Danio rerio: one gene and its partner. The protein of the gene in region 1 purifies or fractionates together with the protein of each later gene. This does not show direct contact. Links are inferred from orthologs where the notes say so. Each region holds a gene or a part of one and is shown on either strand. Other genes may lie near its edges. The genes, in order: smurf2 and tgfbr2b.

Region 1 (3,833 bases):
AGAAATGAGCAGCACTGACAACTTGTGTTCATGACTCTCCTCAAAACTTTCGGCTGAGGTTTTTGATGGGCAAAAAAAAAAAACGCCTCAACATGGCCCAATTAAACCCTGGAAATGACTATAAATGTGACTGGCCATGGCGCACACTCGCTTTAGTCCTAACAGTGAAAACATGGCTGGTAAGCACTTTCAGAGCAAATTATGTTTCTCTGGTTTTCAGCTCATCGTGTGTGGATTGGGAAAGATCGACATCAACGACTGGAAGTCAAACACCCGTCTGAAGCACTGCACCCCTGACAGTAACATTGTGAAGTGGTTCTGGAGGGCTGTGGAGTCGTATGACGAAGAGAGGAGAGCTCGACTGCTGCAGTTTGTCACCGGATCCTCCAGAGTTCCGCTGCAAGGATTCAAAGCCCTGCAAGGTACCCGATGATGTCACAAATTTCTTAATTAGCATCCGGAAATTCACACCTGTATAGCCACATTCAATGAATACATAAACCAACACAAAAAGCAGTATTAGGAATGAAACGGCACACAACACTGATGCTTCAGTACATATCTCGATTTTGAAGTAACAGTTTCAGTGTTGCCAGATATTTATTTAAATCGAATTTTACCTTGTTACTTAAACTGTTATATATATTTTAAACAATACAGTAACCAACACCAGCAGTCATAGAACCACAACATAACCGGATCATATCAAAACACTGCCCCCCTCTCACCCACACACTGCACTTGTGTAGATTACACTACCTATTAGAGTGTTTTACTTTCGAAATGGGGTATAAATTGTCCCATTTGGCGTTTTAAATTCTTTTAAACTTAATAAGGTGCTGCTTGCCAATCAGACAAGACTTCTATGTTTGTTCTTGCTATTAATTATGGGAAAAAATGATCAATGGGCGCCAAACACTGAACAGTTTTTGGTATATTAAGGACTACAAAAGGACTATAATTTTTTTTTCAATAATGCTTTGCTGATGTCTTGAAATAAATGAAGTTATAAAGCATAATCTTAATAAATTATGTAGCCTAAATACTTGCTTATTACTGTAATGTTGAAGAGAATATAAGAATTATCAACAATTTAAATTATTAAACTGCTATTTATTTTGAGATTCTGTGTAAACATGTATGTTTTATTTGATTTATTTATTTCGAACATAAAATCATACATTTAAAACAATTCTTCGAACAAAATACATTTCATCATGATCAACAAAATATTTACTTATCCATATACACCTAAAATAACAAATTTATTTAGCAGGTGTCCTGACATTACATCCCACCCATCAGACTATGTTACCAACACTGTATTTGAATGGTTCTGAGGTAGGACTTTGGGATAAGTAGGTTACGGCGATATTACCTCTTTCATATCACACTAATTCAGCTTGTAATTTACACTAGTAGCAAAATCTGATGGGTAGCACATTGTCAGAGGTTGAACCCTCTGACAAGAGTAAAAAAACGTTGGTTCGGGTTAAAGCACAAGGTACTATTGATCTCTTAAAACTGAAATCTTACATGTCTGTCTGCAGGTGCCGCTGGTCCACGTCTCTTCACTATTCACCAGATCGATGCCAGCACCAACAACCTACCCAAAGCACACACTTGGTAAGCATGAGGTTTACACAATTAAATCTTTCTTGAACATCAAATAAACATAGAAGAATGATTTTTTTTAAGAACCGTGTGACACTGAAGACTGGAGTAATGATGCTAACAATGAAGCTTTACCATAATGTGGGTTAAACCATTTTTAAAGTGTACACTCAGTCACATGGAACCAATTTATTGAATACTTAATCAAGAAAGCAGCAATTAAGGGCATATTCACACAAGGCACAGTTGCCTTGAACCATGCCAAAATGCGCTTGTCCCCCTCCCCTCTCCCCTGACAGCCTGCACTCACACTGCATTATTACCTTTCGAGTTAAATCACGCTTACATCATCGATGATGCAGCAGTTTAGTTTAACAGACGTGCAGCGAGGGGTTTGCGTCTTTAATAACCTATGACATGTTGTATTCATTGAAAAGTAAGAATTATTAATAAATCCATATAAAGCAGTCTCTGTGTATTCACACTGAGAGCATCAATGTAGCCGGAAGTCATTCATTTTCAATGGAAGCCAGCGGCGAGGTGCATCGCGTCTTCACCAGTGTGAGCGTCGAGGAGAGTTGAAATCAAGTCAACTTTATGCTAATGAGCTATAATGTGGTTTAGCGGCAACCAATCGGAATGTTGAAGTCCACTACTTGAGAGGTGTCCAGAAAACACAGTCCTGTGAACTTTGATTTTGACCACAGTTGTTTCCAAGGGTTTTAATATTGTGTTTGCCAGATTTCAATTTTTTACGATGTTTTCTTACAGGGACATGCATTAAAAAAGTTACTGGCAAGTTACTGATGTGCATTAATGTATAATTTTTTTTTCTTTAAAAAAGCGGGAATCTCATGCAAAAATACAAATTAGTATTGCTGCTTCAGAATATTTCAGACATATGGACACATATTGGATAAGTGAAGCAAAGCCACACCACATGCAACAGCTTAATCTTCTATTGTTAAATTAGTTTCATAAAAAGTGTGCAACATTTTTATGCTAGAAAACATGTTTTATGCGGGAATGTGACTGATTTGCTGACATACTGAAACGGCCCCTTTAAATACAAGATCAATGCAGTGAATTTTTACTTCTCGAAAGCGAAGCTGTGAAGGCAGACAGCTTGTCGCTAGGTCAGCCAGAGAAAACTTTGGTGCTCTCACTGCTTTCAATGTGAACATACAGTTGAAAGTGAAGTTGCGTCTTCAGTTTTCAGGCTCAGGCACGCTTTGCACTCACACTACAAGCGTTCTGCGTATGAGCCCAGCTAAACTGTGATCTGGCACACCGGGCCGGCCAATAAACTGTGCCTGGGCCTGATTCGGAGCACTCACAATTGTCAAATGAACTGAGAAACACACCCGAGCATGGTTCGAATCGCCTAGTGTGAGTGCTCTTTAAAGCCTAACAGAAACAGCCCTGTTTATTTATTTTTCCCTTTACCTCGTATACAGAATATAATGGTAAAAACTATTGTAAAAAATAATGTATACAAATGCAATAGTATACATCAGAATTTTCTATACAACCAATTATTTTATACAGGAGTGATGTTTCACACTCTTACTATTTTATTGTTTCTCATCAATTATCAGTGTGTAAATATTTAAAAAACCTGTATTTTAAAACCAAAACATGCATATATTATTACATTTTGCCAACATCATCAGTCAACCATATTCGTTTGTGTTCAACAGCTTTAACCGAATCGACATTCCTCCATACGAAAGCTACGATAAACTCTACGACAAGCTGCTGACAGCCATCGAAGAGACATGCGGCTTCGCTGTGGAATGATGTCCCACGGCAGCGCTCACACAAGACCCTTTCTCCAGACGGGATGGACCGGTCATCCAGACCACAGGCGTGTGGGCCTCGCGGGGAAGCTCAGACGCTCGGGCTGAGGAACTGTGGATTACACCGCAGCACTCGACGCCTGATGCTGCTATCCCCATCTTTTTGCATTATTTGAAAAGAAGAGAAGAAAACAACCTATCTTTTCAGCTGCTAGTAACTCTTTTATTTACTATTTTGGAACCTCCTTATCCTCCTTTTGTTTTTTGTTTTTTTAAGTCCATATTTAGATTTTTTTTTTAGCATTAAGACGACATATTAACAGTATTTCATGTAGCATTTTGACAGACTAGACTTTAGGAGAGGCTGAACTTTAGCAGGGCGCAGAACAAGAGCGGCATAAGCTAATGTAGAAGCACTAC
Region 2 (3,794 bases), on another chromosome or scaffold:
ATCTATAATAGGCTATTCGTAATTTCATTTAATATATAACCACAATTTGTTATACATTATAAAGATAATCATATAAACACTATAAATGATAAGGACTTCTCTCCTCCTGAATCCCCGGGTCTGAATGCAGACACAGTAGATAGCAGTGCAGCAGGTCTCTTTCCCTATATATTTCAACTATTTGCCCTGTTGGTAATCTGGAGGATTTTAAACATGTGCAAACACAGCAGCACAGATATAGGCAATGTGTCTGAATGGTAACAAACTCAACTGATAAGACAAAGTCCGCCACTCTCTAATTCTCCTACAGCTCTCCCGACATAACTGCTTGCTGCACACAAACAGCTTTGCTGTATCAACCCTCACAGCATCATGGGGAAAACCCTACAGCAAACCCTGTGGATCATGGAAACAAACACATATGACACTTCATGAATGGTTAAATACTGAGTGCCGTGCACTGTCTCACAGCTTGATGCTTAAGTGATGCTCAACACACAGATCTGTTAAAATCTCAAAAAAGTACTCCAGTGTGTCTTGAACCTTTAAATCCAACACTAGTGTATTCAATATGTAAAATAATACACAATAATATGTACAACAAAATAAAAATGACCCACTTTTAGTATCAATCCTGTACATAAATGTCTTTTAATCATCATAGATTTACAATATATTACATGAAAAGTAGTAAAAGAGAGGCACAATTCAATATCCAGGATATGTGAACATAAGAGGCACATTGTGAGCTTCAAAATACTGTTCGTTTAACACCTTTCTTTGGTATGTGCAGCATATATATATATACTCTTCCCTTTTTTGGCCCCCTCAATAGTGTGGGTTGATTTTTTTTTACGTCACAAGCTGTATTTACAATATATTTTTCCTTTGGCTATAACAAGCACAATACACTTTTTGGCAAAAACAAACACACACACCATTCATGCACGCAAACAAACAAATCTCACATTCTTCCATAAATCCAGAAAATCCTGAACTGATCTGTAGGAAGTCTTAAAATCTCCTATGAATCTTTAGTGTTGAGGCGAAACATTTTCCTGATTACCTTTGGCTCTCGGTCAGCCGTCAGAGGAGAAACCCAGCATCTGTCCAGCTCCTCTTTCTCGCAGCGTGACCTTCCTCAGTGTGAGCTGTGAATAATCTGATAAAGTGCATGAAATCTTTGGTTATGAGACATAAAGCTTTATGAAAAGGCCGTATTCTTCTACGTTGCCTCGCTGGAAGGATGTACAACATTCAGTTTGTGCAGAGAGAGATCTTTCTCTCATTTGTCGTCGCTCACGCTCACGGCACAGTCTTCGGGAATCTTTTCCTCAGAGCTGCTGCAGGTGGACAGTTTGTCCAGGTCGTCGTCCATCTCGTTGAAGCGTTCAGCCACACACTGTGCAGTCAGCCGGGCTTCAGGGTCGTGATCCCAGCATTCATTGATGGTTGCACAAACTGCTGCCACTCCCTGGAGACAAAGCATGAGTGCGTGGGAACTTTTTTCTGTGTTTTTTATGAATTATTAGCCCCCTGTATAATTTACGTATAATCACCCAATTTCTGTTTAGCAGACAGAAGATTTTTTTAAACACATTTCTAAACATAATAGTTTGTTCTGTAGATAATCTAAACAAACAAAAAAAGCTTAAGGGGACTAATAATATTGACCTGAAAATTGTTTATAAAAAATTAAAAACTGCTTTTATCCTTGCCAAAATAAAACAAATAATGCTCTATTCACACTAGATGCTGAAGAAGCGCCAAACGCGAGTGATTTATATAAGTCAAGGCAAAGACGCGAATAGACATCGTGGATGCGATTCGCTTGAATGTAGCGACGCGAATTGAGCGTTTTTCTCATTTGATGCTCTTAACATGCTTCAAAATTTCCAATTCGATAGATTTCCGTGTGCAAATGCGTGAATTTATCGAGTCATTCGTGCTGCGTTAACCAATCAGGAGCTTGCTCTTGTAGGGGTGTGATTATGACGTAGTTCCAGCTGACCCCAGACAATAGCTCATCAAACTGGGCTCGGCTCAACCAGAAGCACTTTATCATCCATGAAAGCCTCCATCATCTAGGTATAGTTTCAGGAGGAGTTTATGAACTCACAGAGCTGGGTGAACCTCTGAATGTATCTAGTGGAGTTATTATCTCAATGACATCCATGTTAGCCACTTAGCAACGAAGCTAGAGTCATCTGGCAGAAACCCAAGGCCCACCCAAGACGCGTATCTGCTTCGATTGTGAAGTAAATTTGAAGTGTGAATGAAGTGAATTTGACGCGAGAATGAAGCAAGTTTTACGCGGGACTAAAGTGTATTTAATGCACAAATGAAGCGTTGCGAATGAAAAGTTTTTCACACTTAACGCGCAAATTTTGTGAACTGTTTAAGTTGGAAAATTTTAACTTAAGCGGATATTCCTGCTGCGTTAACCAATCAGGAGCTTGTACTTGGTGTGACTATGACGTAGTGCCTGTTGTTGGTGTCCCGAGGGGAAATCCTTTTGCAGACACCAAACAACAGTTCATTAAACTGGGCTGGGCTCAGTCAAAGACACAGCTGAAAGCCTCCATCATCCAGGTATAGTTTCTGAAGAGTGCACCTCTGAAAGTGTCTAGTGGACTCTCAAATAATTTTTTCAGCCTTCCTAAAGATCAAAAACACAGCTTATTTCTCAAAATTCATGTTAGCCATTTAGCAAGAGTCTAGAGTCACCAGGCACACAGAAGTCCTGTCCATGACGCAAATTGCATCTATTGTGAAGTGAATTTGACACGCAAATGAAGCAAATTTGACCCGCGAATAAAGCAAGTAAACTCAAAATGTTCATATGTCTATTTACCAGCCAATATCGCAACTTATTCGCACATGCCGCAACTGGTGTGAAAACAGCATCAGACTTTCTACAGAAAAAAAATATCGGAAATGATGTGAAAAATTCCTTGCTCTGTTAAAAAGGATTTGGAAAATATTTTAAGAAGAAAGAAAAATTCACAGGAGGGTGATTTATTTTGAATTCAACTGTATACAGTATGCCCACTTCCATGTTTTTCTAACTTTTTGTCTTTGATTTTGTCTTGTTTGTGGTCCAAATATAGTCTCTATTACAATGTTTTGTTTTCAGAAATAATAAGTCAAAATTGTGCTTTTCTTTAAAACAAGCAAAATAATGCAAATAAAATATTCTTGTTTAATAAAAAATTGAGATATGATTATTTTTCTTAACCCACTGGCAGATTATTTTCCTTGTTTTGAGGCAAAATCACTTAATTTTAACTTATAATTTCTAAAAACTATATTTTCTTTGACCAGAAACTGCCTATTGATTTAAGCATTTTTAGATGTTTGGACTAGAAAAATGACAGAAACTCTAGGTCAACAAAAATTATATATGATGTTGTTAATATATTCATAGTATTTATAATACAGTCAGCGGCCAATTAGATTTGCTACTTTTAGCATCTGATGGACACTTTGCTATCCCACAAGGCCTAAAGACAGGACTGAAGTCGCAGGGAAGTGATGAACTGACAGCATCAGTGAAAATATGGTGGACGTTGTACACACTACACACATTTACGTGTACTACACAGAACATGCCTTTTATACTTATAAATTAAAACAGCTTAAAACAAATGCATTATGTACAATTTTGGATGCAGTTGGCAGTTTTGTTTTAAAAAGTATGATTTAAATTTAGTCAGTATATCATCATGTCATGCACATACGTACATTTTAGTGAATTGTACTTCAAATGGACTATATGTAGAAATTTTTATATA

What was found.
Region 2: the proteins of smurf2 (region 1) and tgfbr2b purify together in Homo sapiens (affinity purification with western blotting; 3 studies listed by BioGRID). This does not show direct contact. The link is inferred for Danio rerio from reciprocal best matches to the Homo sapiens genes SMURF2 and TGFBR2.

What each region holds. Positions count from the first base shown.
Region 1 is NC_133178.1:24,026,423-24,030,255, reverse strand, and holds part of smurf2 (E3 ubiquitin-protein ligase SMURF2), read left to right. Parts: intron 1-220; coding exon 221-422; intron 423-1,550; coding exon 1,551-1,626; intron 1,627-3,314; coding exon 3,315-3,414; 3' UTR 3,415-3,833. UniProt on the Homo sapiens protein: E3 ubiquitin-protein ligase which accepts ubiquitin from an E2 ubiquitin-conjugating enzyme in the form of a thioester and then directly transfers the ubiquitin to targeted substrates.
Region 2 is NC_133191.1:43,914,830-43,918,623, forward strand, and holds the end of tgfbr2b (TGF-beta receptor type-2), read right to left. Parts: intron 1,475-3,794; coding exon 1,286-1,474; 3' UTR 621-1,285; downstream 1-620. UniProt on the Homo sapiens protein: Transmembrane serine/threonine kinase forming with the TGF-beta type I serine/threonine kinase receptor, TGFBR1, the non-promiscuous receptor for the TGF-beta cytokines TGFB1, TGFB2 and TGFB3.